Linked DNA regions of Daphnia pulex. The protein of the gene in region 2 interacts with the protein of the main gene of each other region in a pairwise test. Links are inferred from orthologs where the notes say so. Each region holds a gene or a part of one and is shown on either strand. Other genes may lie near its edges.

Region 1 (16,410 bases), on a different chromosome or scaffold from region 2:
ACACACACACAAGCCAACGGGAATGTCACGGAAACCAAAAAAATCGAGTCTCATATATAAGAACCCTGGGCACGCAGAGTATCAGACCCAAAGTCCAGAGTCAGCAAGAATAATGATGACGACTTTGTCCCGATGATATTTTCAACAACAAAAAAGAAAGAAAAGAAAAAAAAAGAACCGGTTAGCGCCAAAAGAATGAGGACACTGTCGTCCCACACTTTCAATTAGATTTCCTTCACAAATAGCTAAAGAGCGCAGACCCTCTGTGGCCAATGAGGAAATCAGGCATGCAATTAGAGCACGTATAGTCAGCCGGCCAATTTTGACGTGTCACCCCGCATAGGCTCCGTGAAAAATCGTCAACAATTTAGCCGAATAAACGCGGATAAATGGTGTGGTGCGCTATTATTGCTCCGCCGTAGCTATATTAGACGGGGGGGGGACTTACCATGATCTCGGCGGGCGGTTTGCTCATGGCCGGAACGATACAGACGACCTCGGAAGGAAAGTCACCTTGCTCGCCGGTTCGTTCACTTCGACCGGAACACCAGCTGCCACTCAGGACGGCCTCTCCGCGGCTATTCGGGTCCAGGACCACCAGATCGCCTTTGCTCAGTTGCAAGTATGTCGCACCTTCGTCTGTTGATTATTAATAACAAATAAAAAGTTATAATTGCCAGCGTGCGGTTTCTCTCTCAAATGAGGCGAACGAAATGTCGAATGAACGAGTCGATGACTTTCTAAATGATCTCACCTTTGTAATCTTGCAATGCCACGGCGTACATGGATCGTTTCTTCAATCCCTCGAGGAAAAATTGAACCAAATCGCGAATGTCTTCAGCGTTGGGACTCTGGAAAGTGAACTCTTCCGCTCGCACCGTGCTCAGAGTGAAAGTCTGGCTGAAAGCTTTGCTCGTTCTGCACACACGCAAAAAGGAAAAGACAAACGATATCAAAAGATATTCGCCATGACGCGGTGCAAATGTTAATAACGACGACGACATACTTTTGAGAAGAAATCGACGTAATTTCAGGGAATGAAAGTTCAAGCAGCACTTGCTCTTGATCGTCGACGACGTACACTCCCGTCCAATTGACGGCTATAATCACGTCGTTCTTCGGCAGGTTAGGACCTATAAACAAGACGTGTAAACGGGGGGTTCAAAAAGGTGAACTGTGAGTTTACAATAATGGAGCCAGGGGGGGCGAGAAACGAAATGAATTGACATGTACCTGAAGAGCGGAAAGCCTCGTAAAAGCGAGAAAAGAGTAGCGGCCATTTGAGCTTGGAATAATTGACAATGTCCTCCTTGACCCGACTAGAAGGAACTCGCTCTTTAATGTAATAGCTCTGTCAATAACCATAAAAAGAACAGCCATTAGAGAATTAAGTAACATTAAGGGAAAGTTAGGGACCTTAAAACATTACCTTCTTCAAAGCGGCGACAGTTAGCTGGGCCCATCGGTCAATGGCCTTGTCTCCGGTTGAGAGACAGTAATCGGGAATGTAGTTGGGCAACAAGGTGAGCAATCGATCAATGCTAATGTCGCTTCCGTATTCGATAAAGTACTGCTGGGCAGCAATCATGGCCAGGTCTTCCTCCTTGTCGCAGCGGTACTCGCCGAATTTGACGCCGCGGACCACCTGCTGGTAAATCAAATTGGTGGCCGTCGTGTCTTCGGTCGGGTCGTGCCAAGGAGCGAAAATCTCCTTGCGGAAAAAGAGCCGCCAAGGAGCATTGCGCTCCTGGGCTCCTTGCTCCTTGGCGTACTGCTCGCACTGGGAAATGGCGTCCATGACGTGATCGCCGCCGCTGCCCAGCGACGACACTTTGTCGAACAGGGCGATGTACAGGGAAAATCCAAATTGATCCTTGAGCTCGATCTTTTCGGCCAGTTGGTCGCACAATTCGCGGGCTGTTGTTGCCGAATCGGCCAGCAAAGTCTTGGTGTTTCCGTCCATGAACGTGATGGGCAACATCAGCGGTTTCTTCGATTTGGTGGCCTGGAAATGACAGATACTATTATCGGTGATGTTCAAATTGATAAAAGGTTTAATTATTGATTACCTGGAGCTCTAACCAACTAGGCGGTTGGTTGCGGGTGCCGTTGTTGAAGGTGCGGGCGAGACGCTCTTCGCAGTAAGGTGCATAGCCGGGCGGTCCGTCGCGAATGAAAGCGCGCAGGTATTTGATAAACTTGTCGGACGGAGCGAAACAGCCGACGCAGAGCGACAAGAGGATCCATCCGCGTGCGTGACTCGATTTCGAAGGATTGTTGGTCAGCTGTTTGCAAATCTGACAGTAGATTTCATCCCTATTGTACACGTCACGAAAATGAAATTGATTCTCAACCAAAGAAAACCAAATGGATTAAGGAAATTACCTCAACTCGGCGCGCAGAATGCCGTGACCGATAATAAAATGAAGTTTCTCCAAGTTGGATGTGGGTCGTGAATCCAGCCACGAAGTGTACGATTCCGTCGTGTAATCTTCTTCCTGCAACTTGCGCCGCACGTCGTCTCCGAGTTTGTTCTTCCGTTTGAGCGTCAAAGAAACCAATTTGTGGCGAATGGAACGCTGTTTCGAAGTGCCTTTAGGATAGGCTTCCTGTTAATGGGCGTAATAATAAAAGAAACACGCCATTTAAAAATGGTTGTCGTCGTTTCGCAAGCTCAAAATCTACCCGTAGTCTTACCGATTCGGCGCTCATAATTTGTGCGTCTTGGAAATCCTTGGTGCGGATGAAATTGCGGCCGAGCGTAGCCGAGACGCGAGTCATGACTGAAGTGTTGTCTCGCTCGGTCGAGTGATATTTCGGCTCGGGCATGTCGCCCATGAAGCGGAGAATAGTCACCCACAAAGCCAATGCCGCCTACACCATTCAACAGCACGGAAGGTTGAAACAAAAAATTAGACACATTTTTAAATTTTGACTGATTTTTCATTTTACCAGTTGATCGCCCTGCGTTTGCAGAGAGAGCAGGGAAGACTTGAGCGGTTTCCTGGAATACTGGTGAGTGGCGTTACTCTGGAAGAAAGTGGCGGCGAATTTCTGGAAACGATATTCCGACAAATCTTCCGTTGGGCCCAGTCCGGTACTGGGCGGAATGGCCAGCATCAGCTCGTCCACGTCGCCCTTCTTGATGGGAATATTCTGTGCGCCAAATTCGAAAATTAAATACCAGAAAACTGAATCAATAGAAAATATAATAAATTTACCCATTGCGGCTTGCCTTCCGTCTCCTTCTCCCTTTCGTTGCCGGAATCTTGCGGCAATTTGAAAAGATCATCGATGTAATTGTCGATATTCGATGGCTCTTGCTCTTTGATGGCCGCCTCCTTCATTTTCTCGCGGTTGCTTTCCAGCTGTTGACGATTGACTCGTTCCGTTTCACGTTGTTGACGTTCCATATCCATCAGCCTCTCCTGTTCAAATAAATAATTAACAATTAAATAAACTGGACTATAGGTTGGAAATCAAATTGATGTCATACCCGGTAACGTTGGTCAGCAATTTCCTTGTAGCGTTTGTTTCCGGCTTTCTTGAGCTCCCGCTCTTCCAGGTCGCGCAAGCGGAGAGCTTCCAGTCGATGTCGTTGTTCGTATTTCATTTTCTTGTAGTTGCGTTGAGCGATCATCCGCCGGACGTGTTTCTGGATGACCACGACCGCCCGAGTCTTCATGCGGAACTGGCGACGGATCAAATAGCCGCGGCAACGGGCCTGCAGGCCGACAATGTGGCCGCGCAAGTGCTGGAAGCGATGAGACAGGATTCGAGAGCGGATGAGAGCCTGCAGCCGCAGGAATCCGCTACGCATTTCCAGGTAGCGCTTGCGTTGGGCCTGACGTCTCCACTGGCGTTGAATGACTACAGCGGCGCTCCTGAGGCGAACGTAGCGACGTCTATGAATCCATCCGCGGATGCAACGCTGGATGATGACCAATTTCTTGGTTAGGACTCGATCGCGCTCCTGTTCCAGGAACAGATCCTGGGCATCCTTGAGAAAAACTTTGGTCTGACCCAGTTGGTAGTCCGTCTTTCCCAGTGTGGCCGAACAGATCCTGGCCGTCGCTTGCCTACAGTCCACCTGCAATTACAAATCGATTCATTTTAAAAACATCTGCAATGATAATTAAAATTATTTCATTATTTCAAATCGTTACTCTGTGAGGTGGTGGGCATCCAGAAATGAGGAATCGGTAACGTTCGACAAATTCGCGGAATGTGTGGCGAATAGGATAGCCGGCCCGCCGGATACGAATCGTTTCCATCATTCCCGAGTAGCGCAGTTGACGACAGCATAATTCACGATCGAAAACCTGAATTTACCGGAATGTTATTTTTAATATGTGTCAATTGAATTAATTGTTTTAATGAAAAAAATTTTTTTTTATTGTACCATCGATTGTTTCAGCTCGTTGGGTTTAATACAACGCACGAAAAATGGCTGACAAGCGCTGAGAGTCCGCATGAGCGAGTCGAGCGATTTTTTGAACTGGGCCGACAGAGTGGGCGCCTTTTTGCGGGTCTCCGAGCCCATGGAAATGTCTTCGGCGAAAAGCGTTCGCAGAAACTTGTTGGACGTCACGTGGACCAACTGCATCAGATCGGCGCTGAACGAATCTCGATTCTTGTCCAGAAATCCTCTGGCGTCGTAAAACACGACTCCGGCGAAATGATTGAAACCGAACGAGGCCTGCAGATCGGAACGAGGTTTCACGTAGTTCCTGTTGCTGCCGTGAGTCTTGTTCAACTTGGCCAACATGGTCTGGTCCGTGCCCTGGAAAAAAAAACACGAATTATATATAAACCCAATTATTAAACGAAAGACAATTATTTGAAATTAACCGAGTAATACTACCTTTGGGAATTTGGATTCTTCATCGATAAGTGCCATGATGTTCATCTGTTTAATTGCGATTAAATCAAGCGAGTCTTGATTGTCGACGAATTCGATGTGCTGCCAGCTGATATTCTCCTGATTGTATTCCTCTTGTTCCAACTTGAAAATGTGTCGGACGAAGAATTGCTGCAGATTCTCGTTGGCGTAGTTGATGCAAAACTGTTCGAAACTTTATTCGATCCAAAAACACAAATTAGATTCCGCCATTTCAACTAGTGTCCAGTCAATTCTTTAATACCTGTTGATGCTGAAATTTTCGAAACCAAAAATGTCCAGGACTCCGATGGAGCTCGTGTCCATTTCGTCGGATTTGCGGATGGCACAGTTCAACTTGGTAACAATCCAGATGAAGAGTCGCCCGTAAATACCTTTAGCAAAAGCATCTCGAACATCTACAGCTTGCACTTTGGATAACCTCGATACCTGCAAATACAATTCAATTATCTCTGTCAAATGGGAATTCAATTTCAATATTAACTGACCACTGAATCTCCCTGGGCGAAAATGGTTTTAGTGGTAAGGGCGTCAACCATCTCTCGAGGATCAACACCCAGCAACTTGGAGACGCGAATAGCGTTGGAAGGATCTGGAATTTCACTAGCGTCCATATTGCCTGGACAAAGGGAAGAATGGCGAGAATGTTTCCAACGTTAATATTTTGTTTACCGAGTCGTGAACAAAATGTTAAATGAACTTCTTACTGATGACAACTCCTTTGAAGGAAACGTTTCCCAGGTGCAAAAGAGCGGCCAGAACTCGAAGAATGTCGGAAATTTCCGGCTCAGTAAAGAGCAGGACTTTCATGGCCGATCGGATTTCGGCAAATTCATTGGCGTCGTTCCTTCCCTGGCACGTCGTGCTGTTGCCCTGTAACATGTTAAAAAACCCAATTTTGAATAACGCATTCCACTATATAACAAATACAATGGGAATAAATTGAACTTGTATATACCCCAGTGAGGTATTTGTATTGGCTGGCATCCTGCAAATCGAATTTCTGCTTGTCTTCTTTGGTCATGCCGGCCAGCATGCAATAAAAGATGTGGTAGTTCCTCTCGCCAGGATTCTGGGCCACAATGCGCGATTTCTCCAGCAGGTACTGCTCGATATTGGCTCCTTCGATTGTGCCGTGTTTGTTGAAGCTGATGTCGATGTACTTGCCGAAACGAGACGAGTTGTCATTCCGCACAGTTTTGGCGTTTCCGAAGGCTAATTAACCAAATCAAATGACGTCATTTCATACTTTAAGGGGAATTATTTTAATAAATACCTTCCAAGATGGGATTAGCTTCAAGGATTTGCTGCTCGATCCACGAATGTTTCCCGCTAATGGCCGCCAGGTATTGCAAAATCAATTTGGTACTTTCAGTTTTACCAGCGCCAGACTCACCGCTGATAACGCAATAAGAAAAGAAATAAATGATTAATCTCGGGTAACCCAGGTGTGCGCTGAGAATTGAGAACATCAAGAAACAACCAAGACGAAATGGAATTTCGACCGTAATTTTATGTAATCTATTAAACAATGTACAAGTCTCACCTGATAACGATGCACTGATCCTGTCGAAAGCGTTTCATTTGAGAGTAGCAATTATCGCCGATGGCGAAAATGTGCGGAGGCAATTCGCCGATTTTCCGCTCCCTGTACATTTTAATTTGCTCGGCCGTGTAAATGGGCAGAATCTGGTAGGGATTGACGGCCACCAGAATCGAACCGGTGTAAGTCTGTTACCAAAAAATCAAATCAACAATTGATCATCTCATAAAAATAAATCAATGAAATGAGTCTATGACGTACGTATATGATGCTTTCATTGTAGCGAATGTGCAGATTGCGCAAGATACCAGCCTCGTGCAAATCACCCAGTGAAATCATATCCTGGACGCCCTGAATGGACGTCGGATGCATGGCTTTGATGCGTCGTTCCGGCGTCAGCCATTGTTCCTGCGCAATTCAATTTAAAAAATGTGACACAAAATTGTGAATGACACTTTTAAGCAAATAAATACACAAGAAGGAGGAGGGGAAAACCAATTTGACGTTGTGACGTTCTAAATTGCTCTTATCTGTGTGGCTTAGATCGAGACTTGCGGTCACCAACGCATTTCGAAACGGTTTGAAACAAAAGGTGGGGTGCTGTTGCCTCACCATTTCGTGCTGACGGCTGATGGGGAAAAATAAAAGACAAAAAGGTGACATAAGACTTACTTTGCCGTCGTCGTCGACGACCTGGATCCGTTTGCCCTCGGCCGAAACGACCCGGGCCCCGATCGCCACATCGAATTCTCGTTTGGTGCTGGGCTCGATCCAGACATAGTCGCCCTAATAGAAATGAAATTAATTTCCAAATTGATTATCATATTAAACGAGCAAGTGTCACAACATTTTGTTATATTTTTCCATCGAAATTGGAACGAATCTCCACGGGGGGTGGACTTGGTTCACAAAGAAAAAAAACAGACAAAAATGAAGTTGTAACGGGATTGTGGACGAAGCAGAGCGGAGGATTGTCGTGCAATAAGAATGGGACATTGACATGATCATTGGCCCGTATGTCCACCTTCTGTTTGGCAAGGGGAAAACCGTGCTGACCTCGAAATAACAACAAAACACATGGGCACTGGGCAGTTTGGAAAGTTGGACGCGGCAACAAGTGCCCACCAGTTCTAGGGAAAATTAGGAACTCACGTAGGTAAGAATCTGAGTCGACGAGCCATCGCCTTCTTCCGACATCTTTTCTTCCAGCCGCCAACGTTAATCTCGACTTGACAAATAATGGCGACAACACAGAGAGACCATGGACGATCGTGACTTGATTGAACTACAATCAACGTATGCCCTTAATTTCCAAAATCAAAACTTTCACTCTCCCGAATAATCAGAAACTTGAGAATTCAACCGACGTCAAACCTTCAAACTCGATGCGAACAAACTGTTTGATGTGATAATGGCGAGCAGGGAGAGGCCAGCACACCGTCTTATCTCTACTTCCCAAATGATAAGGAAAAAAATGAAAATGACTCAAAGTTCACGTGATCAATTGGCATTCATTAACTGACGTCTAGTCCAAACACACATTGCGTATCACAAGGATTGGGGAAAAAATCCCCCCAACGAAAAAAACATTCCTTGTTTGATTACATTCTCTTTTATTTTTCCACTTATTGCTTGGCTACCGCCCTGAACAGTCAGCTGTTTTCTCAGTGTCCACTTCTTTTTCTTTTTCTTAGTAGATATTTGGAAACACTCGCAGAGCCCAAAAGGTATACTGTATACGTAATAATAATAAGAAAAGAACAGCAGGTGGATGGCCGCAAGAGTCTAAAGCACGTACGCCTTGCAACGAAAAGAGATTCCAACAACCGCCTTTGAATGAGTTGGCAGCCACACTGAGAGTCGCAGCTAGGGGAAAAATATATATAAAACATTAAGTTACAGCTATATACTATACTCGCTGAATAGATTCAGATTCCCTCTCTGTGTTCTTCAGCCAGCAGTTTTACCTCCGGTTCTTTTCTTTTTTTTCAGTTTTCTCGACTTTTAGTTCCGCGTCGTTGCATCTTTCAGAATACGTTGTCCTTAATCGTTAAACGTTCATTGGCGGTAGACGACACATGTGTGTAGAGACACACACACGCACTCCCTCATCTCGTGTGTGTGTGTGTGTATAGCATTAGCTGCGATATTGTTTTCCGATTCTTTTTCACGGTGGTAAATGACGATGACGACCTCCTATATACTATACACTGCGGTCGCACCATCCAAGAGAAAATACCCAGACTGTTGCCGAACCCGTTATCTCCTTCAGTACATGTTTTTGAACCTTCTTCCGTCAACTGACTTTTGTGGGTGTCTCTTCTTCTTCTTCTTCTTCTTCTTCTAGTCCATGCGCTATTACACAATATGGCCCTGGAAGAACAATATAACCAAAGAAAAGGCAACAACATCTTGGTGGTGGAGGTCTCACTTCTCTTGTGTGACTCTTGTGGTGTAACCTAAACACATAACAGCAGATGTGTGTACCGGAAAAAGAAGAAAAAAAATCATCACTGCGCGACCCAATTGCGTCACTTTTTTCTGTCTGTCTTTGTTGTTTCGTTCTGGGTTTCACAGTTGGATTTGTTTTTGTTTTTTCTCTCTCCTAAAAATGTTTTCCAACCCAAACAAAAATGTCTAACCCCCTTTCGCTTTATTAGGAATCATCAGTCGGCCGATATTTTAAAAACCGGACGTCCGCTCGCCCGCCATTCAAAACCGGAAATAAAACTTCCGTTTCGGATATATGAAAGGCGCGTTGTTGAGTTTCATCGGCTGTTTAATTTTACTGAATGTCTGGCTGCGGTCGACCAATGTATGTTACGTGTGTCGGGCGTTGGCTTTTTTTGCTGTTCATCTCTCAGTGGAGAAGAGAGCGCAGGTACACCATCACCGGGAGAGAGAGGGTCATTGACCAACAGGCAGCCAACAACAGCCGTGTGCTCAGCAGCCGCGTGATGAAGTAAATACATTTACACAAACACCCACGGCGGAGAAATGTCAATTTCAATAGCGGCCATGCCCATTATTCAACATTTCCATGACTGACATACGTTGCCTTTTCTTTCTTTCCTCCATGAACCAAGTAACAACAAGATGACTAGGAATTTTTTTAAAAAATGAATGACTTACCCGAGAAACGATGACCATTTTCTTATATTTTTTGGTAAGTCCTGGAGATTCGTGGCAATTCGTCCAAAAGTCCACACACAAGGCCGCCGTCGTCGTCGGTCGTCCGCGCGGGCCGTTATTCACCGCTGCCCGCCACTGCGGCACAGCACGCAATTATTTTCCGCCGCCTGTCAGTCCGAAAAAGAAAGAAAGAAAAAACTATACCACAAAAAATAATAACACCATCAAAAACTCTCAACGGTCAGCAGCAGCTCAAGAACGACAGAAAATACGCAATAAATCAATAATTTTGGTACGTTATTATTATGCATGGAAATGAGGACGTTTGTTATTATTATCAGGTTGACAAAAAACCAATTGACAGCCACAGAGCTCAAGGTGGAAAATGGAGTTCTCCGGGTGCTTTATATTCATGTCCAATACTGGAGGGGAGTAACACATTACAAAGGTTTCTGTCCAGTTAGGTTTCTTTCTTTTCTTTCATTTCGTCACAATTTTAGTGCGTGTTTTCCTTCTTTCCTTATTCACATTTTTTCTTTCTTTTTTAGAAATCTGGTTAGTTGTTTTCCCGGGTGTACACTCACGAGCTTTTATGAGCTCATCGTCACTTGATCGTTAAACTCACGTGACCGAGCGACCCCCCCTTGGCTTTAATCGATTATCTTTTTTAATTAAATGTCAATAAAATTATTTCCTTCTCAAATTTCTCGGCTTTTTGGTTATTTCTTCTATTTTTAACAAAAAAGAAACGACGCCACGTGTGATTTTCGTGTTTAATAGTGGACAAGAACTTGAGGTGAGGCTTGTGACTCTTGTGGCTTTTTTCTGACGAGCAATCCGTTAACATCAATGCAGCAGACAACTCTCCGTGGAAATAAATGAATTTAAAAAAGAAGAAAAATGAAGGAGAAGAAGAAAAAAAGCAAAACAAGAATACACGAAAAAAGAAAACGGGAATAGTTTTTTTTTTATCTGATTCTAGACCTCGACCAAGTCCGTTACGACCGATCTCACCCAGTTATTCCCTTAGAATAAAACAAAATTCTATGTCTAGTTGTCCACATATTACCTTATACGTCCACTGCAAAGACACACAAACATGTTGGCGAGTCATCGTAGAAAAAAACCAGAATAACAAGGAAATGACCCGACAATCCTGTATGGCAATCGCATTGACACATGAAAAATCGAACTAGATCGCACCGACATTTGATTTCGAACAGATTCACGGCAGTGTTACGAATTCTTGGAAGCGAAGGTGGATGACGACATTTAATTATGAGGTAATCAGAGAGAACCCAGAAGAAGAAAAATGGAAGATTCTTGATTTGAATTTTTTCTAGTCAGGATTCTTTTCCGCTTCAATACATTTTACTGCGCGCTGTGAGAGAATAGCCCAGGTAGTAAAAATAATATGTCTGGAAAAAAACGAAAGCGTGGTCAAGCTGACGCTTCCGTTTCGGTGTGGGCCTACTGAATGAACCGCGTAGCGAACGCCGGCTGTGTGAGAGAAATCACGAAAACCAAGAAAAATCTACGGTTGTTGAGCCGGCTGATCCGACTGGTTTTGACTTTTCTTAATATGGAAAAAATAGAATCGATTCGTGGTTAAATGTTTAGTTTCTTTTGTTTCAATTTCAAAGTTGCATGACATCGTGACCTAACAAAAAAACAAAATCCGCTTGACTCCGTGATTTCGTTCAATTGATGGAAGCAATCAAAACTAAAAAAAACTGATTCGCGGGGGGAAACATTAACTTTTTGTGTCTGTCGGTCTTCCTCTGCTTATTCCAGACAGTGGTAGTTATCTTCCTCTTCGTCTAATTTCTTGTATTTTACCTTTTTTTCTTTTCCCAAGACCTAGGCGGCCTTGAATGTTGGCTAGAGAGCAATAGCAAAAAAGAAAAAGAGGCTGGCTCGAGGGTTTCTTTTTCTTTTACCCTACCTGCCATCCAAAAGCCAACAGGTAAGAAAAAAGGAAAAAAGACCAGTATATAGAAGAAGAAGAGGAATAACCAGAAAGTTTGATGGACTCTTTTTCGTCTACAAGCCTACGCACACAACGGAATTATCCAGCAGCCTGCCCTGGATAACTCGAACACAAAATCTTTGAAACTCAATAAATAAATGATTGCTGTTTCGTCACACGGCAACTAATTTATATTGTTATCTCAACTGCACTTGAAATGGCCTTAATGAATACGTGCGTTCCCATCTGTTCCATGGACAGCCAGATTATACTATCCACCCCCCGAGGAAAGTATAATTACTCTAACGGGCCCAGGTATGCGTCTTCCATCGGAAAAAAGCGCACGATGGAATTGATGGATTTCCTTTTTCTGAACAGAAAGAAGAAGAGGAACAATGAGGCCGATATGCTCACCTGATCTCTGGCCAGCAGCAAGTCACCGTATAAAAACAAATTCCTATGGGTTAAAAAAAAAAGAAATCCAGTCGAAAGGAAGGCCCGATATGCTCGAGTGGCAACAATGTCACTTCAGCTTTTTTGTTTTATTCGGGTGCTGAGCCGTTTTTAAAAAATTTCGTATTTGCACTGATTATCACTCGACAAAAAAATAAACTTCACCTCAAACTAGTGAAGAATAACAAAAACAAAATTAACTCCTCGATCCACCAAGTTTTGAAGTGTCACTTGACTACGTGGCGGCACCGAGTCATGCGATTTCGTTTTTCTTGGTGAGACTCTTGTTTTGTGCACTTTTCCAGCTTTTTGATACCAAAAATGCCAGCCAGTCTTGGTGTTAGTCCTCCACCTGGCTTACGAACTGACTGGCCAACGCCGGGCCTCAGCACACCATTCGAAGCTCCTACCTGTGGTATACAAAAGTACACCCTTGAAAATCTAAATTCAACACTCCCTTTCGATTCACCAATCCACTTCTAACTGGCTTGTAATTAAATAACTTGAACTGAATTCTTCAAACACTTACGAAATGTACGTGGTGTGTTTAGCTAATTTGGGTCCAATTTTCGTAGAAATAAAAATTCCGATTGATCTTGAACACGTCAGGCAATGGCCGACGGTGAAAATTAGACTGACGCCGAGTGTAGGAGACTTTAGAGTTAGGGTCTTCTATCTCTTTTTTCTTCCCACTTTTGAGGGGGTAGGAGACAGGAGGCTAGGACAGGTACCGGTACAGGTTTGCGTACAAAGGCTCGAGTCAATGTACCGAACGCCAGAGTCTCTCTACCTGTGGTGTGGAACCCCCCAAAGCAATAGATAGACCAAAGCCCTTCATTTCCTACAGTATACCAATTTTATTTATATTTATATGTATACATTTTTTTATGCTGCTGGATGACTGCTGTGTTGTTGTTGTTGTGTCGGGAGTATGGAGCTCGTCTTTCGGCTGTATTCTCATTTCTTACTGGTCATCATCTTCGTCTCTTTTCGAATATATGTGAATACAGGAAAACAAATTCCGACCTTGCTCCCATTTTGGCTATTCAAGTTGTCTGAGTTGGCTACGATTGTCAGCGCAAATGAGAATCTTTTATCACGATTGCGGGAAATGTTTCAATTAAACTCGCGGATGGCTAATAACCGGTAGCTCAAGTTCACTGACATTTTCACCTCCTAAGAGGTTATAGCTGCCGACTGCATACTAAACAGGGGCCCAGCTGAATAAACACACAGCTAATCATTCATCTAATGAACTCTCTTCAAACATTCTTAACACTGTCGTGGGAGAGCTAGAATGTCTTCAATTGGCGTGTAATTACACACCCTTCAGTGTAACCGAAACGGATTGAAGGATTAACAATTAGACAGGAACTAAACTGGACAATAAGAAGAGAAAAAAAAATTATTTCGTGACTCGTAAGATCAAAAAATTCTATAATGCTTGATTAACCAACTTTTGCGGAGGAAGTGGACTCTGCGCTGACGGAGAGCAGCAGAATTCTTGCATGACGCAGTCGCATCCGCTCAATTGGATATTAAATAAAGCCTTTTTTTTCACAATGAAACCCGTCAGGCGCAATAATAACACATCATGCAAACCGGGTAAAGGTTTACCTACAGTTAAAAAACGAGGGGAAAAACTGGCCGCCACGGAACAGTAATAATAAGAATGAGCTTTTATCCCCGACATCTGGCGCGGCAAGCGGCAACTTTTAACTGACAAGTTAATGCCCAGGAAAAACAACTTCAAAGGAGTAACAAAACAACTAAGAAAACAAACAGAAGAAAAAGGGTTAGTCGCCGGATGAAAACTACCTGTTGTTTTCTCTCTTCTAAGAACAAAACACAATCTCTAGACGCACGGCTTCGGCAAAAGCGGTAGAACGATCCGAGAACTCTGTATTTTTCTGAATAATATATATATTTTTTATTTCAAACATCCTCGTAACATCGACGAAGAAAACGCGCAAGTTTCATTTAGCCGAAAAAGCTCAAGAAAAGCGGCCCCGCTATACCAATTGTAAAAAAAGATAATTTTCCATTGAATTTAAGCAGTTGATGTAAACAAGGTCGACTAGAAACCTTTCCTTTTTGTAGAATTTGCACAATGTGAGTGGATGGCCGGCAAAGAAAAAAACAACAAACAAACATTGCACGTAGATGACGATCGACGGAAATTTCATGCACAGTGAAAATATAATTTTTTAGCAGACATTCAAAACTAAACGAAAGATGAACCTGAATTTTTAATGGAAAACGGAAGGTATAGTCCTCTGGTGATGTGACATGTGAAGCATGACATCCTTCTTTGTAATGATTCCCAATAGTCGCCTGAAAAGTAAAATAATTCATTTAATAAACTGAATGAAGAATATTGACAGCAATCTAAACCGGGAAAAAAAAAAACCGTACCCATTGTGAGTTACTAGAACATGTCTCAGTCCCAATTTCCTGAACATATCAATGACTGTCTCCATCGGCGTATGATCCGTAACGGTGATGGGAGCGAGATCCAAAATGCGTCGCAATTTTACGGGCGATGAAGCCGAGGGGTTTCCTTGCACAAAACCGTTGAAGATCACAAGCGAATCATCGCTGATGTCGTCTTGTTTGCGGCGCACACTTCCTAAAATAATTACCCAATTTCAATTTTTTTTTTCCTCGTCAGACTTAAAAGGCCAAAGATCAAAAGGTCAGAATCAATTTACCTATGGCTAACATCAGATCTCGTCTCAACACACAGCCGACCAGAAAGTGGGACTCCCGAGAAATAACGACTGGAAAGGCATTGTGTTTGGAATTTTCTAAAATGCTTTCCACTTCGCTCAGTGTCATAGAATCTTGAGTGAGGACCGTCAGTGGAGCGTTCCCTCTATAGAATATTGAATATCCGCCAAAGAAACAAATCAGTGAGTACATTAAAGAAAAAAAGTGATTGACGTGTGTGTGTGTGTAATACCGAGGCTGCATCACGTCGGCTGCGATGGTGGTACAATCAAACTCTTCTTTGTTGTCCAGAAATGGATATCCATTTAAAGCTATGTGTGCATCATAAATGCCATCCTTGCCGAAAGCATCGCCCACCCATTTGCTAGCCATAGCTGCCGCCATCAGCGGGACGATATACCTAACGCCTCCGGTGAGTTCAAACATAATAACCACCAAAGCCACTAAAAATCAAAGAAAGAAAGAAAACAATAAAAAATTTGAATGTGTTTGACCGCACCCAGGAATTCAAAACACAAAGAGGAAATAAATTTTAAGAAGTAAATAAAAAATACCAGTCATTCGTGTAACTCCACCAAGAACAGCAGCCGCTCCCACCATCGCATACAACCCGGGAGTTATACAATCATCTCCAGTAGAACATTCACCCCTGAAGGCCCAAAACTGTGGATAATGGCTGCAATCATGTGGGCACAAGTCAAATAATCATTAGTGTGCTCTTCATACAGTAACAGTCATCAAATTTCGCTTACTAGGCCCACTGCTCCATTGCTATGCCAACGATACGTCCCACGATCGCCCCCATACAGAGCGACGGAATGTACAATCCGGCGGGTACTTTAATGCCAATCGTGAAAATGGTCATGACAATCTTGAAGACTAACGCCAGGAAAAGAAGAGCCAGGGCAGTGTAGACGCCTGTTCCGGCAGCTGCGCTCTCAATAGCTCCGTTAACGTTGGTGTAATTCCGATTGTAATCACTATTATAAAACAGGGTTGTTGTTTTTTTTTCCGAATAGGGTTACCAAGCCGCAAATAAGATACAAACTACTTTGAAGTCTTACCATAGATAATCGTTGTTGGCTACTCCGCATTGACTGAAAAGGAGGTAAATCAGCCTCGTGGAACTCATACGGGTGTACGGATTGGGGTAGGAGATGACCGCATTAATAAGTGTCAGGACGATGACTTCTGTAACCGGGTACTGTCCGATGCGTGACTGTTTACGATATCTTGACCACCAAATGTTTGCTCGGATGAACAAGGTTCCAATAAGACCCTGGAAAAAGTACGAAACAAATTTTTTCAATTACAAATATTTCTTCAAATGATAAACCCAACGTGACGGGTCGTGACGCACTCCGATAGCGCCGAGAAGAATGAATGGAAGCAGCTCGAAAAAGATCCACGGTTTGCTGTATTCCACGTAAAACAGGACGGAATGTTCATTGCCGTAAGGATCAATAGAGCGGACTACGAAAGCGGCAATCAGAGCGCAAAAAAATGAGCGCCACAGAGTTTTCATGGGAAAATAGTAGCTGACCTAGATGGAGAACACAAAATATTTTGAATTCAAGGTGAGAAGATATTCGAATAAATAAATCAAAATAATTTATACTTCTTCCAAACTGAAAAGCACGCCTCCAATTGGTGCACCGAAAGCGACGGATACGCCCGACGCTG
Region 2 (15,355 bases):
AAAAAAACAAGTAAAAAAACAAAAAAACATTACTGTCAAAATTGAGACTGATCGTGGCGTTACTCTCGCCAAGCTCATTTTTAGCTGTAACTTTATATTTTCCACCGTCTTCCACAGCCACACTCGTGATCTCCAAGGTGGAAAAATATGAATTGCCATCTTTTTCGATCGAGATCTGTACAAAACAATTTGTTGTAACTACATATAACATATAACTCGGTAAGGTAGATAGGCCTAGTACTATATACACATTTGCAAAGTATCAATTCATTGTGATTTCAAGCGAACCCATGCAACATTTCGTCTATTCAGCATAAAGGACAGTGACGCGAATCGCATTTTTTAAAGAAAACCCAAATCTGGATTACTAATCGTTAACTCCTTTTTGTAATTTGCGTGTTATTTTCGAACAACGGTCAGCTTTCCTGCCTAGACGCTGTCCCCATTGCTCGCTCAGGCGGTATCCATAAATAGCGGGTGACTAATGCTCTGGCATCTGAAGGACTACACCATACATCTACGTTTTCGTACATCTCATTCACATGCAGTTATTATCAGTTATTTAAATACATTGCTGTTTGCTGATATCTCTTTGGAAATCCAAAAAAATGTTTGACGCTAACGGCTGTCGGTTTAACGATTAGTAAATTTCCGTTTCTAACTCTACGAGAAATATTTAGTACTAAATCAAAAGATATTTGGCTAATTTTCTATAGTGTGTACACTTTTTCACAGGGGATGTAAAAGGGGGGAATAAAGACGTAAATTAAATAACTTACTCGGTATCGACCGCCGTTCTTGATTGCGGTGCCACCGTGAAACCAACTGACTTCAGGGCGAGGATCCGCTAAGATTCGGCACTCGAATCGTAATCGTTTGCCATCTTCTTCTTGCTTGATCGATGGCTTCTGGGCAAAAGTAGGTGCGATTCCATCAATTTGCCTGAAAAACAATTTTGGAATTTAAATGGTTTCTCTTTACGATTGATTGATTGATTACTGTTATCAGCTATGATCTTGATTAGTTAAAAATTGAAACTATGCTACTTAATTCACCATTTTCGAATCAAAATTTTCTGAAAGGTAGTTAATAGCTCAAAAACAGTCATACTATTCCACAGAGTTTTTTGTCATTCACGCCGACTTTTAACCCGGGAGCACATATTTTCAGAAACGGTAAAATAAAAATTAAAAATTAACTTGTTAAACTTACTTAAGTTAAATCTCTTACTGCCAACAGCGTTCTTATTTCTATAACTTATTTACATTTCTTATAAATATAAATCCAACAATTAATTTTTAACAGCATTTATCAGAAGAAATTAAATAAATACTTTATCAATAAAGAAACATCTTGATTTGCTTTTGGTCAACTCAAATGATTGCGAAAGTAAAAAAAAAAAAATTTCAGACGCCAGTCGATATTGTTGTTTGACTTTCCGCTCTAGATGGACGTACCCCATAGGTGGGCACGAACGAACGGCCAAAAAAGGATGTCGAGTTTATTTTCAGTCTCAAGGAAGCAACACTAACATCGGCTAGAGCGGCGAACAGGAATTGTGTCGAACTTATGGCGGATGCGCCTGAAAACAGAACGTGAAAAACCAGCGATGGCTAGTCATTTCGTTCGGTGGAGGGGGGGGGAGCTATGTGAGCCAAATTCAAATTTGGGATCTCAAAGTCGCAGGCTTATTGCGTGTTCCAGCTAAACTGGACATTCTCTCGTCATGTCGGCGTATATACCGGCGTGTATTCGCTCGTCGGATTGTCACACCTTCAAAATGAATAATCACGCAGGATGCCGGCAAGATGTAACTACTAAATGCCGCGCGCGCAATTTAAATTCTAATTCAAAATTCGGTCAAATACCAAATATTTTTCACTTAGTCCTGAATTTATAAACTATTACAGTTTATTGTTTGATCAACACTATATCGAGTCGTAATGAAATGGGGCAAAATCTGAACGTACCTGGGAGCCATGATCTTTCAATCTCACAAGATAATCTCGCAATCGGTTAGAGTAAGCGCAAATCTAACGCTGAGAACTGATCACTTGATGTCGCACTGTGAAGAGTAGTAGACCATCACTGTATTGGGAAATTCATATGACCTCGTCGAAAGATCAAAGTCCAACTGTCCGAGTTACAAGGGAATAAGAAGCTCGAAGGAAACGTTGCACCTTCCAACGTCAACCGACAGAAGCGACTGAGAGTCAAACGAGCAGCTTTATATACGATGAACCTTCTTTATTTCTAGTTCCTGACAGTGTCGGAGTGAGAGCTAATTGAGGGGACAGTCACGTGATTTCATTTCCAGACTCGGCTATAGTCATGAGCCACATTTCCCCCCACATGCACACACAAGTCCGACATTCTCCATACCTCCGTCCGCACGACCGGAGATGAGGCGTTTCTCTTTTTCGACTCAGTCACCATTTCTCTTACATCTTAGCAACTCAAACATTTTTTTTTTCTTTTTTCTCTTTTAGAATTATATACAAGTCCTTTTGAAGAGACCGATATAGCTAATAAGTCTTTTAAGAAAATATGCCAACTTTTTACATTCGTTACTATTGCAGGCAATCAATATCGGTTATGGTATATCTTCCTGTTATTACTTTTTTTCTACGTATAATGACGTGCAGATGTATTCCTAGTTTATGGCTAATTTCAAATTTGTTTAGAAATCAACAGTCTTAACCAATTACACGGTTTTAATAATATTCGATAAGGTTTTGAGTTTTGCTGTTATGTAATTTAAGGTCTACAAATAATTGGATTGAAATTTCGAAATTTTGACTCACTTTTCTTTGGGTTCGTCCGTTGCTGTATTCCACCAAAAAGAAAACGAAACAAAAAAATACGAAAATAAAGGTTAAGTGTGCGGAGAGATAAATCATAAAATGGCATTAGAAGAAAATGAAAGATGATCAAGATGATTGAAGAAATTTGAACTCACGGCTGAAATTCAGGTTGATTGAGGCTGCCACTTCGCCTAATTTGTTATGGGCACTAACTTTATACGAGCCGGCATCTGTTTCAATGACATCATCGAGTTCGAGGACGACCAAGTACTTGCTGGGCGTCAGTTCTGTCATTTTCATCGTCGTGCGATCATTTTCGACCAGCTTGGTTTCGCCGCGAAACCAAGTGATGGCCGGCAAAGGATTGGCCACCAATTGACATTCGAATACCAATCGGTTGCCATCATCTTCTTGGCGAAGTGTCGGTTTCTGAGTGAAACTCGGGGCCAACTCTTCATTCACACCCATGGTGGCTCACTTGCCGCCTGAATAGGCGTGCCACCCTTCCAGTAAGGGAAGGGCGGGAATGGGATTCTCTGTGACTGATGAACGAAACTTCCCAGTGATTAGGACATCTAGAGATTCCGCTCCCGTCTGTACTAAATGCGATCGCCGCCGGATCCTGACAAATAAAACAACAAGTTTGGTATAGAAACATGACACGCATTAAATTAGATGAATTTTATACATTCAAATGTTTCATTGATTATGTAATATGAATACGAATTAAATAGAACTTATTGGAGCAATACACATATTTTAAGGTTTAGTTGTTTGAAAAAAAAGAATGTTGATTGTTTGTTGAGAGTTTTCTTAAATGGTGACTCAGCATTTATTTATGCTTTGCCACTTAATAATCCCAGACGTGATGTTGGTAAATAGTTCAGAAAAAAAGGTTTTAATTAACTTTTCTCTGGTTGTTCTTAATTTTGTCCCAGACAGACCAAAATACATTTTGTGATTGGATTTGCATTTTGATAGCGCATTATCTATATGCCATCAATTGATGTGCACGAGTACCAATACCAATTCCCTTTTACTTCTAAAAAAACAAAAATAAAAAGCGAAAATCGAAGAGAAATCATTTTCGAGCTTAAAAATAATGTGCACAATACACTGTTCATTAACCTTATTTTTACTTGAGGTCATGAAACGAAAGCTAGCTGATGCTGGATCGCTTTGAAAACGAGCCTAGGTAGAGGTACTATATGGGTAACAAGGAACCTAGACGAGCCAGCCAGGATTTCCTGAACAGCGTCCCAAAATTAACCTAGCTTGCTCAACCAAGCTCAAGGTAGTAGCCCCCATACTCTACAACTGACTTTTTCTTTGTAATGCCGGGTGTAGCCAAAAAGAAAGAAGGTCTACATATGCTGCTAGACTCTGCGATGTGGACGACGTCGAAAATAAAAATGTGAAATCGTTGCACTGCGCTGGAATTGATTTCACACATTTTCGGGAATATATAGACGAGTCTAGCGTCCTATATTATATATGAGCTCGTGAAAACCTCGAAGATGACCGGATTCAGTACGAGCTGATCCTTAATTTCTTGTCAACAAACTTGCCCCCCCCCCCCCTCAACGGATGTTGTTGTTTTCTCGAAAGTTGTTCGCTCTTGTAAAACCCACAGGAAGATAGGATGACGTAGGAGGAGAGTAGAAGATGTGAAAGAAACTTACCGTGTATCTTTACGCTCACTTCAAACTGTTGAGAATGGAAAGCACTGGGCGTGTGACACAAGAAATGACTACCGATGGATCGAGAGATGATGCCCGTTTATCAAGCGAAAAGTGAATCAAGCGTGATTTCAAAAAATCAAGGCGCTTATGTAACTAGCTCTCTTGGCTGCAACACCTACTAGCCAACTGCAGAGGAGACGACTTACTGTGGAGGAGAGCAATCACTTGGATCCCAGAAGGGCAAGAGCAAGTATTAGCAGCAGCAACCGTCAGCCAGTCTGTCCTGAAAATAGACTGGTCGACGGCGCGACAGTACCGGTTGGACTTGTGAAGAAAAAATCCCCAGCAAGCGGGAGAACTACAGCAACAATCTGCCGAACTGGCTAGAATAAAAAAAAATAAAAAAAAAATAAAATAAAATAAAAATTTCTTGTCTCTCTTCATGTCGTCTCCCTCTCCTTTTCGTTTTGTTTTTATTCCGTGTTTTCTCAAGTTTTATACCTTTAACGAGCAAGTTGGATTAAAATAGTTTGGATAAAGTCGAGCTACTTTTTGCAAAGCCCAGTTTCATACAGAAGGAGAAAATAGAATCCATTTTGAGGAGGAAAATAAGCAACTAACATTTTCCTGTTTCATTTTTGACACTATATCTATTGGACCTTTTTTCAGAATGTGTTTTTTTTTCAAGGGATCCTAATGCAATTGGACAAATCAGCTCATTTAAATTTAATTAAAGAAGAAAATATAAAATTGTATTATTATTTTTTTCCAAATGAAAATTGAGTCATACATTCCGGTAACTAATAACAGACATGAATGATTCCAAATGTCGTTAAATAAGTAATCAAATACGTAATAAAACTGCCAACTTGAGAGTTGAAAAATTCAAATAAAACGAAATCTCAATATTCTACATTCAAATTAACTTTCAATATAAAACAGATGCTGTCTGCGCCATTATTTCCAAACTGTGTGACATCGAATAAGACAGAAACGTGAAATTGTCTGCAATATTAATGAAGGCCATATAGTAACCCTATGGCGATAAGATTCTAGAATTTAATTTTCTGCAAAAAAATACGTGGTCTAAACTGACCGTTGTAAAAAAAAACGGACTTTTCTCATTTTAGGTTATTCCTGTATAATGTATTCGTTGAACCGAAGGCGGGTTTAAAAACACACCCTAAATAGTGGGTAGTCAAAATGTGTGTGGATCGAGCGAAAAGCTGATGTAGGTTGCTGCTATTGGTTCTGGTATGTTATATGTCGCCGTTTTTAGGAGGCGAAAGGGTGGTAAAGAATATATTTTGCGGTGGATCCTGCAAGGCGCGCCACATAGTTCGAATACTAGCGAGTTTCTTACTAGCGCGCTAGTCTGAAAATAAACCCAAACCAAAAATAGCTCTTTAGGAAACACGCTGGATTTACCTTTTCGTATGTTTTCTATGCACACAACCTCAGAAGGGATGCTTTCACATACGAAAGCAATAAGCGAGAGGGAAGTTTAATTTATTCTCCGGCTTTTGTTATTTCAAGTTTATTTGATGTTTATCTCCGTACCAATTTATTGCGAATGAACGGAAATCCAGTCAGCACCGTAAAAGGACGAATACATGTCTTTGATTTACGAATTACACAGAACTAAATATTTTCTACAGTCGTGTTTTAAAAGTGGATTTAGGACAGCTTTATAGTGTACACGGATGATTTTCAGACATTTACTCAGTCAAAGTTATTTTGATACTGTGCAACCAATGTAAATATAACAGGAAACAGGATGCTCTAGAATATGTTTTTCAATTTTTGTATCCATTCTTTATGTACTAAACACAATTTAAATCACTGTGAATCACTGTTAACAGCATGATTCATATTAAACAACATTTATGGAATTTTCGTATTTTGATTTTATTTATTTATTTTATCGTCAGAGGTTTTTGGCCACGGGAAGTCGGCAATAGACGGAACGGGAAGTACCAGGCGTAGCTTCTTCTCCAAGCGGTGAGGTTCTCAAGCTATGAGTTCATCCATCTAAAAGTATCGCAGTTGACTAGCCGAACTTTTCTATCTAGGATTTAAAATATAGCTATACTACATTTCATGAAACGAAAATTAGAAATCAAGTACCGATCATGAAAAAGGGAATTATGCAAACTGATCTCCTGAATACCTAATCTATCTATGTGGCTCATGCATTCACCAGCGTTCGTTTTCACACCTGAACCATCCGTGGGAAAGTTTACTATTACTGGCTAGTAGGCCGATTGTCGAATAGTACTTAAGCTTCGTAACGCAAGCCTCTCTTTGTATAAAGGGTTCATTCCTAGGGATGCAATTTCATTCAAACGACACAAACGTCAAACGGTATACAGGCCTACACGGTTTGTCCATGCAGAAAATCGGTTGTGCAAAGTTCCATAGTGACGAAGGAGAATCCATCGATTACTGCAGTAACTGCACATCCAAACTTATAGCCTTTTCAAAATGATTACTACAATACTACAATCTTGTTTGTACTTTAATTTGCCCATTTGTTTTATGAACATGAATACATAATAACTAATGCACTATTTCTAGCGATTAATTATTACTTGGCCACGTAAAATTAACGAACTGATACAGCTAAATTTCTAGCAAAAGGTTTTTTTAATACAGGTAAATCAAGTGTAAAGAATTTCGCAATTATACTAAGCTATCACGTGAAGGACGATGGGCACGAAAATTTATTTAGCAATCATTGTAATTCTTTTTACGATAGTTTTAAAGATGTCTTTGCTAGTTGGGAACTTCTTATCGGATTTCAATTTGTCTTTTGTATTTCTCGTGAATAAAAAATTGATTCTTGCTGAACTACATTCCAACCTGCTTTTAAAAGTTCAGGTTTCGCTTTTTCTGAAGCAGAAACATAACGGTGAGGTGTCAATCACCAATGGGAAACAGCAATATACAACAAGGAAATTGAGAAAGAAAAAAAAAAACACTTAGTAGTGAGGTCCATAAGACCTGGGCTTAACTGATTGATGGTTGGGGAAATTTGAAGAACGGAATATAGGAAAGTTGAGGCAAAAAGCAAAGCAAAGGTTGGTGTTTCAAACAAGCTAATCCATCCAAGATTGTTCCACACAAGCCTTTACTCGTTTTTCGTATTCGCGTCGATTCTCCTTGTATAGCTGTGCTGCCATCGAGTTGGCTGGGCTATTTGGATTGGGATCACTAAGAAGTGACTAAAAAAATTGATAAAGAATTCAATCAATCATCAAACAATAATAATCAATCAAAACATAAATACACATAGTATTTAGATGTATGAATCATATTTTACCTGGATAGAGGTGAGAATTGCAGAGACATCATAGGTGGGACTCCATCGATTTTGAAGGATGTCGAGGCAGATTCCTCCATCAGCATAAACATTGGGATGAAACATTTTTGACACAAATCTCACTGTAGGGGGCTTATTAGGGTATTCTTCAGTGAACTCAATGGTCAACTTAAACGTTCCATCTTCAAATGGAGTGTCATGGGGGCTGAAAATATTAAAAAAAAAATAATTAATATTCAATGTGCAAAAAAAGGAAATAAAACCAACATTATTTGTTAATAATTAAGTAAAGAAATTCATTTAGCATTCAACATACCCAAATATAACTGCATTCCATATCATAATATTGTTGTCCGTTGGAGCTCCACTTACCCCAGCAGGTGGATCTTCTTGCAATCTAGAGGATGTACATGAGATAAAAACAAAATAAGCGTAAAGAATACACTTCTTTTTTTAACGGAGCTTAGTTTAAAATAAGTATATTAACCTCTTGAAGTCCCTCATTAATCGTCTTCTGGCTGGTGTAGACATTAATTGTTGATTAACCCTATTCGACCGAAATAAACGCAGTTAACCTGATATAATAAGTTATCTGAGCACTTTATTGAAACTGTTGCGTTAAGAATTTATCCTTCGAAGAGAAATTCAATCGACTATCGATCAACCTAAACCATAAAATCTGTTACGAAGTGAGCTGAGAACAGAAGAAATCCTTAACTGGGGCAGCCATACAGCTAGTAGCCTAGTACTAGAAATCGGCAGCGCCCTAGTGGAATATTTAAGAACTTGATAGTGGTAACCGTCCATTTACAATTTTTCAATCACTTTCATCAATATGAACCAATGAAAAGAATGAACGTAGGTAGCTACAGAAAAAAAACGAGAAAAAAATATTTTCTTTTGTTTAGAAAATAACATAAAAAATAGAATTAAATTTAGAATATTTCGTCATTGCGCAATAGCTTTATTAAAAGAAAGAAAAAAACTGAAAAGAAACAACTTTTTAGATACAGCATTTCCAAACCAGCCATATTTGTGCATAACGCCCAAAACCGGTGATGTCAATACAGGTAACAAATAATATCTTGAAGTTGCCGGGAAAACATGTTCTCATTAACTTAATGCAAGCTTTTTCTTTTTGGGAGGTGGGTGGGTGGGTGTTGGGCTTGTAGCAGTTGGAGAAGACGAAAAAGTAGCGCTGAAGTTGAAATAAAATTTTGAAACACAAAATCAATCAAAAATTCTTCGGTGTAGTTACATCCAGTGAAAACGTTTATTATTGTGGGTATTACAACTATTACTTTAGGGTTTTACAGACGATCAACTTCTCATTACTACTATGACAGGTGACACCATCGAAACGTGTTTGTACCAATCCCTTGTTCCAGTTAAGTCGCCGTTATTAAGAAATTCTATTTAGGTTTGCATTGAAAAAATTCCAGGAGATGGTGTCGCACACTCAGGAATAATCTAACACGGATTCGACTTACAGTCAACACGAAAACAAAGTAAAAGTTTGATTCTTTAACATGTAGTAAGGTTGTATATTACTATCAGTTCGTCAAAATTATTACGCTCCTTTTGCCGCATTGGCTTGGGATTGGAGGGATTTAACTAATTTCATAAGTCCATCAGTTGACATGGATTTGGGTCGCTCGAGTGGGAGACCCAACGCACGATCCCAAACCAAAGATGCCAGCACACCGAGTGCTCGAGATACACCGAATAGTACGGTGTAATAGCTCATTTCAGACATGCCGTAATGCTGCAGCAAAACACCAGAATGGGCGTCAACGTTTGGCCAAGGATTCTTGACCTTTCCTGTTTGCAGAAGGATATCTGGGACAATTTCGTATAGCTGGGCAACAAGCTTGAACATCTTGTCGTCGGGCAAATGCTTGAGAGCAAATTCACGCTGACAAGTGTAACGCGGGTCAGTTTTGCGCAACACAGCATGGCCATACCCAGGTACTACTTGTCCAGAAGCAAGCTGCTGTTTAATGAGCTGGACCAAACCCTCTTTAGTCCACCCATCTCCCAAAGCAGCTGTAATTTTGTTTAAGAACACCAAAACTTCTTGATTGGCCAGTCCGTGAAGAGGTCCTGGTAAACAACAACAACATTTTAATTTGGACCTCACTACATATAAACCGTGCTAAATTAGAATACCTGCTAATCCATTCATACCGCCAGCAAATGACAAGTATGGATCTGATAAAGCAGATCCTATCAGATGGACTGTATGTGCCGAAACGTTTCCTCCTTCGTGATCACTACAAAAACATTTAAAAAATAGTAACGCCAATTAAACTTGACTTAATTATAATGCCAAGACGGCATTACCTGTGAATAGTTAGATAAAGTCGCAACAGTTCGGTAAACTGAGGGTCGGTGTATCCTAACATGGATGCGAAATTAGCTGACCAATCTTTTTTGGTATCGATCGCTCCAATCGAAGATCCATCGCGATATAAATTACGATAGATTGTGGCAGCGACAGTAGGAAGTTTGGCAATCAAATCCATAGAATCTTCGTAGACGTACTATAACGGTCACATCAATCGATTGATATCGTGTGTTTAAAAACATGTAATATTAATGGTCACCTACCTCCCAATATTTAGATTTGTGAAGTCCCTCAGAGTAAGCTTTGGCAAATTTGGATTCACTGTTCAGGGCAGTGATTGCTGCACTGAACTGTGACATTGGATGAAGGTTGGCTGGGAAATTATTGAGCATGGTCACAACATGAGATGGAAGATCAGCACGGCTTGCCCATTCTTTAGACAAGCTTTTCACCTAAGAAAAATAGTTAGGTAAAACATACAAGTGATATATCCATCAGATATTACTTGGGCTTCATTTGGAACATCTCCAGTAATCAAAAGCCAGAATAAACCTTCAGGTAGAGGTTCTTCCCCGCCTTTAGCTTTAGGTAGCATACGTTGGCATTCTGGAATAGATAATCCCCTGAAGCGGATTCCCTCTTCAGGATCTAGGACAGATGTTTCTGTGACCAAACCTTTCATGCTGCGCATACCTCCATATGCCTAGTTTTTTTTGTGGGTTATTTATGATTCATCATGTGATTTGTTCATATGTGTAACCCACCATATCCACTGTAATTTCACCAATTTTTACATTGCCATGTTCTTTACGGAACTTCTTGACACGTTCCTGTTCATAAGGGATTTTATTGTTAAGAACATCCTTCAGATCAGTATGATCAGAGAATGCTCTTACAATGGTAGAAATAGAGCCCTGCAGGATAATTATAAAATGTGTTACATAATGAGAATACCAATATTTATACAACTATATATATTAGAGGCACCATTTGAAACAAAAGTGCTAATTAAAAAAAGACATGGAAAGAATTTTTGCAATATTTAAAGAAATGGATCCTAGAAAGGCGGAAATTTGTTTCGAACAGAAGTAAGACGTCGAGGATTTTTTCACTTATACCAATTATATTTTACCTGAGGAGGGGAGCTTAACCGCAAAGATAATGTGCGAAACAGAGCCATGTCAACAAGAGATGCAGTTTAACTAGCAATGACGAAAGTTAATAAAGCTGGGTAAAGTGACCGAAACCGTGATCCGCAAATATGGAGCTTTTACGAGGTCACCAGATCTTCGTGAATCGTGTGTCTGTAACTTAGATAATCTAGTGTAAATGCCTCCAGTTGCTTTTTAATGCTCTGAGATTTATAGAGCGCCATCTCTTGTACATTGCAAATATTTGGCAAAATTCGGCTACCGTTTTGTTGCTTACTCCTTTTTATAGATATTTCCTATTTCTCTTGAATGTGTAAGGTTTATGGAATCCAAATTTATTATATTCTCTTGATTTATATTTCGGAAGGTTTTATTATTTAACCTGAGCACAGTAGAGGCGCTAACAGATCCCTAGAAATGAAAGCAAAGATCGCCATCGGGCCTTTTGAAGTAGAAACAGACGATGTTCTTGTAATTGTCCGTTGCCAAATGGTCGAAAAATCCGTTTTAAATTTGTGATCCAGAGATAAAAAGAGTGGTAAGCCAGAAAAAATCCTTTTATGATATTTTTCGTTGCGATTTTTTCCACCTTTCTTTGAAGTTCTCATTCATTTATATTTCACAAGTAATATGATATAAATTAACCGTCTGACAACGTAGTGTTCGTTGTAATTTTTCATTAACAATTTTAAATATCTGCAGAGCAGTTATATAGTTATGAAACTCTGCTAGTGGTTGTTGTTTATTGGATTTCTATTTTGGAAACTACATATTCATCTATAAGATCACTATTGTGAGATGGAGCGGTCTCGTCCATCGAAGGATTCTTCTCAACAGCTAAGAAACTCTGGGACCGTAAAAGTGTTGAAAAAAGGTGCAAACGGAACAGTTCCACTAGACAAAGTCGGTAAAAACAAATTATTTTCATCTGACACCAAAAAAAGGTTCTCGTCTGTCAAGAAACGTTCTCACGTTGAAATTCTCAACACTTCAAACGCCAAAAGTAAAATAAACTCTCCTATTGTGGTAATTGAAAATGAAACATCTCATGTGGACATACTTCAAAGAATCCAAGCTGTTGGGATACCTAAAACATACAATTCAACATTATGCAGCTATTCAACCACTGCAACACACCAGCAAAAATTAAACCAACCGATATTTCAAAGTTCTGTTGTCCTTATGAAAAACCTTGAAACACTGAAGAATTTGGAGATTGAAACTCGGAATTTACTCAGCCACAAAGTTGAAAAGGATAAAAAAATGCAGAAATTATTAAACTCAAAGGTATTCTTTTTTATGATTTATTTTCTAAAGAAAACCTATAATCTTTGGATGTTGTATAGGTTTCAACAGTTTTGAATCCATCCAGGCAAATTTTTTCTCGCCTTCAGCCTATTTCATTTAATGTGGAACAGCTTGTGGATCAAGATGAAACAAGGCTTCACAATCTAGCAGAAAAGAATGCTCCACAAATGCGATATAGGGATCCTGAAATTGCTTTGAAAGATTTTATTGATTGTATGGTTATTTCTAAAACTCCTATCCTACCTGAATCTTCCTTTCATGATCAGTGTTGTCAGTTTCAAATCAATCCATTTATCCAACATCAGATTCCAGGCAATAATAATTTAATTCCATATTCATTTTGGTTTCTGTAAGAGTTGTATAAAATTTTTCTCCTATAAACTTTGTATCTTAAGAAGTTACACAAATTTTCTTACGGTTGTATTTCTAATTCTAATAAACTACGATTAAAATTAATTCAATTCTACTCATACGTATCGAATATGAACAAAAAACGTTGCTTTGTATTTTCAATTTAAATGATGGAGGGGAAGGGGTTACATTTGAACAGCTACATTAAACATCCGGTTGGGATAAGGACTTCGAAAAAAATGCGAAACAAGTATGTCGCTGAAGGTGAGTAGCGAGTGTGTGTCTGTCCTAATCGATATCCCATGAAACGAAGGGTTCAGTGATAAAGTCAATGATGATAGTGGTACTACATAAAGAATAGGGACTTGCCAATAGTAGAAATTCGGGGGATGAAATAGAAGTATTAAGAGAGGAGAAATTAGAGGGACAGCAGGTCACATCTATAGATCTTTACCGATGGATGTTTTGTTGATTTTCAGCCGGAGAGAACTAAAGACAGAAAAACAATTGTTTGTACTATTCGCTGATGCAACAAACTATAAACGAATTTTACCTGCAAGAGCTTCGGATGCAAAATATTTCACATCGACATCGGTATCTGTGATTAATTTATCGAGCACGGGTTTAATAGCACTATGGGTTGCCTGTGCTTCCATTCGAGGTGTTAATTTCTGCAATGACTTTGCGACGTTAAAACGAACATTCGCTACGTTATCATTCGCCATAGAAATAACCGTTGGAAGCAGTACTTTGCCAGTCACATCTGGTCCACATGCTTCCGACAAAACCTAGAAAAAGAATACGTTAATATATATAATAATAAAATTGAAGGTTATTTCTTTTTCTCACGTTGATGCAAAATAAACACGTCATACGATGAAGATAATTCTGATCTCGTGCCATTGCCAATACTTTCGGAATTACGGTACTCTGGGCCCATTCAACACCAAACTTCTCTACTAGTTTCTTCAAGTTGTTCGTGGCAGCTTCACGGATAGCATAAACATGATCAACTAACCAAGCCATACAAAGCGTGTTCAATTTCTCGTCGAAGAATTCTACTCCCAGTTGACCGGCCAACAAAGGCATATACTCGATGATGGCCAAACGTACTCTCCACTGTTTCGGATGAATGAAAAATAAAATAAAATTATTAGATCTAAGATGAGAAAGTTAGACGAGCACTTACTTTGGAATCTTCGGCTAATTCAACGATCGCCGGAAGAAGCGACTGCGATAACTGCTGAATCCCAATAACACTATTAACGCAATCCAGATTCGAGATAATATTTAATCGAACTTCAGGACATTCATCTGAAAATTTAAACAAAACCAAAGATGAATTTGATTATCTTCACGTAAATCGAATTGAAAGAGTACCTTTCAGTTGGGTCAAGAACAACGGTAAAAGATGCTCAATCGTGTTGTCTTTGCCTAAAATAGGACTAAGACCCATTATAACAGCAGCCAGGGCCGATTTGACATGTTGATTAGCATCTGAGACTAACTCTTTGACACACGGCAAAATCTGGTTCATGATAAGATTTTCTCGGAAAGCGGGATCTAGGGCTTGGCAGAAATCCCGCACCTTATGAGCAGCTGCGGCTCTTACCTCGGCTTCGGGATCTTTCAGCAGCGCCTTTAGATTTTAGAATAATAAACTTTGATATTTCCGAATATGTTTTTTAAAGACTACAATCACCCTACTTGGAATGCGGACACCAAATCTTGTTTGGAAATTTCCGGGCCAACAGCTTTTTGTAATTCGGTGAACTTATCAGCCACCATATAACGTACACGCCATGATTTGTCTTCGGCACACTGTCTAAGAGTTGGCATCACAAGCTGTTCGACATCCTCTTGCTGAAGGAGCTCGGCCATAGACACGCAAGCTTCAACTGCCAAAAGTCTCACGGAATCCTACAAAAAAATTATTTATTAAGAAAATATGAAAAGGAATCGAAATTTAACGGATAGAAATATAGAGGGAAAAACGTGTTAAAAACCTGCTCATCTTGCGCCAAGAGGACGAACATGGGAATCAAATCGGCCTTTAACCATTCGACTTCTACAACGCGAGCAAACTCTCCAAGTTTAGACGCTGCAGCACGACGCACCATAGGAGTATCGTCTTGACAAAGCATACGAAACGTTGCCCTTAGTTCTCCTTTTACATTATGCGACACTTTGGAATACGCAACGCTGAAAAGTCCGCATGCCGATGTACGTGACGTGAACCAATCCCCAGATGCAAGTCTTCTCAATAATGGAACAAAGTATGTTTCCAGGTCTGAAGGACTATGCTGTTCTGATATGAGACGAAGTGACTCAACAGCTTTATCGCGAACAACTGTTTCTTCAACAGTGGCCAAAGATTCCAATGGAGGCTG

Evidence for each region.
Region 1: the proteins of ubiquitin-conjugating enzyme E2-17 kDa (region 2) and myosin-VIIa-like interact in a two-hybrid assay, tested with the Caenorhabditis elegans proteins (2 studies listed by BioGRID). The link is inferred for Daphnia pulex from reciprocal best matches to the Caenorhabditis elegans genes ubc-1 and hum-6.

What each region holds. Positions count from the first base shown.
Region 1 is NC_060022.1:1,959,445-1,975,854, reverse strand, and holds the start of myosin-VIIa-like, read right to left. Parts: upstream 7,852-16,410; 5' UTR 7,641-7,851; coding exon 7,596-7,640; intron 7,230-7,595; coding exon 7,116-7,229; intron 6,852-7,115; coding exon 6,705-6,851; intron 6,632-6,704; coding exon 6,447-6,631; intron 6,299-6,446; coding exon 6,177-6,298; intron 6,116-6,176; coding exon 5,859-6,115; intron 5,774-5,858; coding exon 5,608-5,773; intron 5,520-5,607; coding exon 5,389-5,519; intron 5,330-5,388; coding exon 5,145-5,329; intron 5,076-5,144; coding exon 4,865-5,075; intron 4,784-4,864; coding exon 4,403-4,783; intron 4,323-4,402; coding exon 4,167-4,322; intron 4,091-4,166; coding exon 3,497-4,090; intron 3,429-3,496; coding exon 3,222-3,428; intron 3,157-3,221; coding exon 2,953-3,156; intron 2,875-2,952; coding exon 2,698-2,874; intron 2,610-2,697; coding exon 2,386-2,609; intron 2,317-2,385; coding exon 2,070-2,316; intron 2,006-2,069; coding exon 1,430-2,005; intron 1,352-1,429; and 8 more. Other genes in the region: H(+)/Cl(-) exchange transporter 4-like, read right to left, coding at 14,247-14,331, 14,413-14,626, 14,709-14,872, 14,960-15,170, 15,282-15,403, 15,480-15,707, 15,792-16,006, 16,088-16,270 and 1 more. UniProt on the Caenorhabditis elegans protein: Myosins are actin-based motor molecules with ATPase activity. Unconventional myosins serve in intracellular movements. Their highly divergent tails are presumed to bind to membranous compartments, which would be moved relative to actin filaments.
Region 2 is NC_060018.1:6,445,465-6,460,819, forward strand, and holds ubiquitin-conjugating enzyme E2-17 kDa, read right to left. Parts: upstream 8,576-15,355; 5' UTR 8,340-8,575; coding exon 8,296-8,339; intron 8,206-8,295; coding exon 8,125-8,205; intron 8,014-8,124; coding exon 7,809-8,013; intron 7,711-7,808; coding exon 7,585-7,710; 3' UTR 7,280-7,584; downstream 1-7,279. Other genes in the region: twitchin-like, read right to left, coding at 34-175, 780-942, 2,805-2,826, 2,960-3,272; probable citrate synthase 2, mitochondrial, read right to left, coding at 9,379-9,911, 9,978-10,081, 10,152-10,351, 10,419-10,607, 10,661-10,858, 10,920-11,069, 11,288-11,335; uncharacterized protein LOC124189052, read left to right, coding at 12,105-12,593, 12,653-12,967; serine/threonine-protein phosphatase 2A 65 kDa regulatory subunit A alpha isoform-like, read right to left, coding at 13,441-13,454, 13,519-13,753, 13,815-14,084, 14,155-14,279, 14,346-14,604, 14,673-14,885, 14,972-15,352. UniProt on the Caenorhabditis elegans protein: Catalyzes the covalent attachment of ubiquitin to other proteins.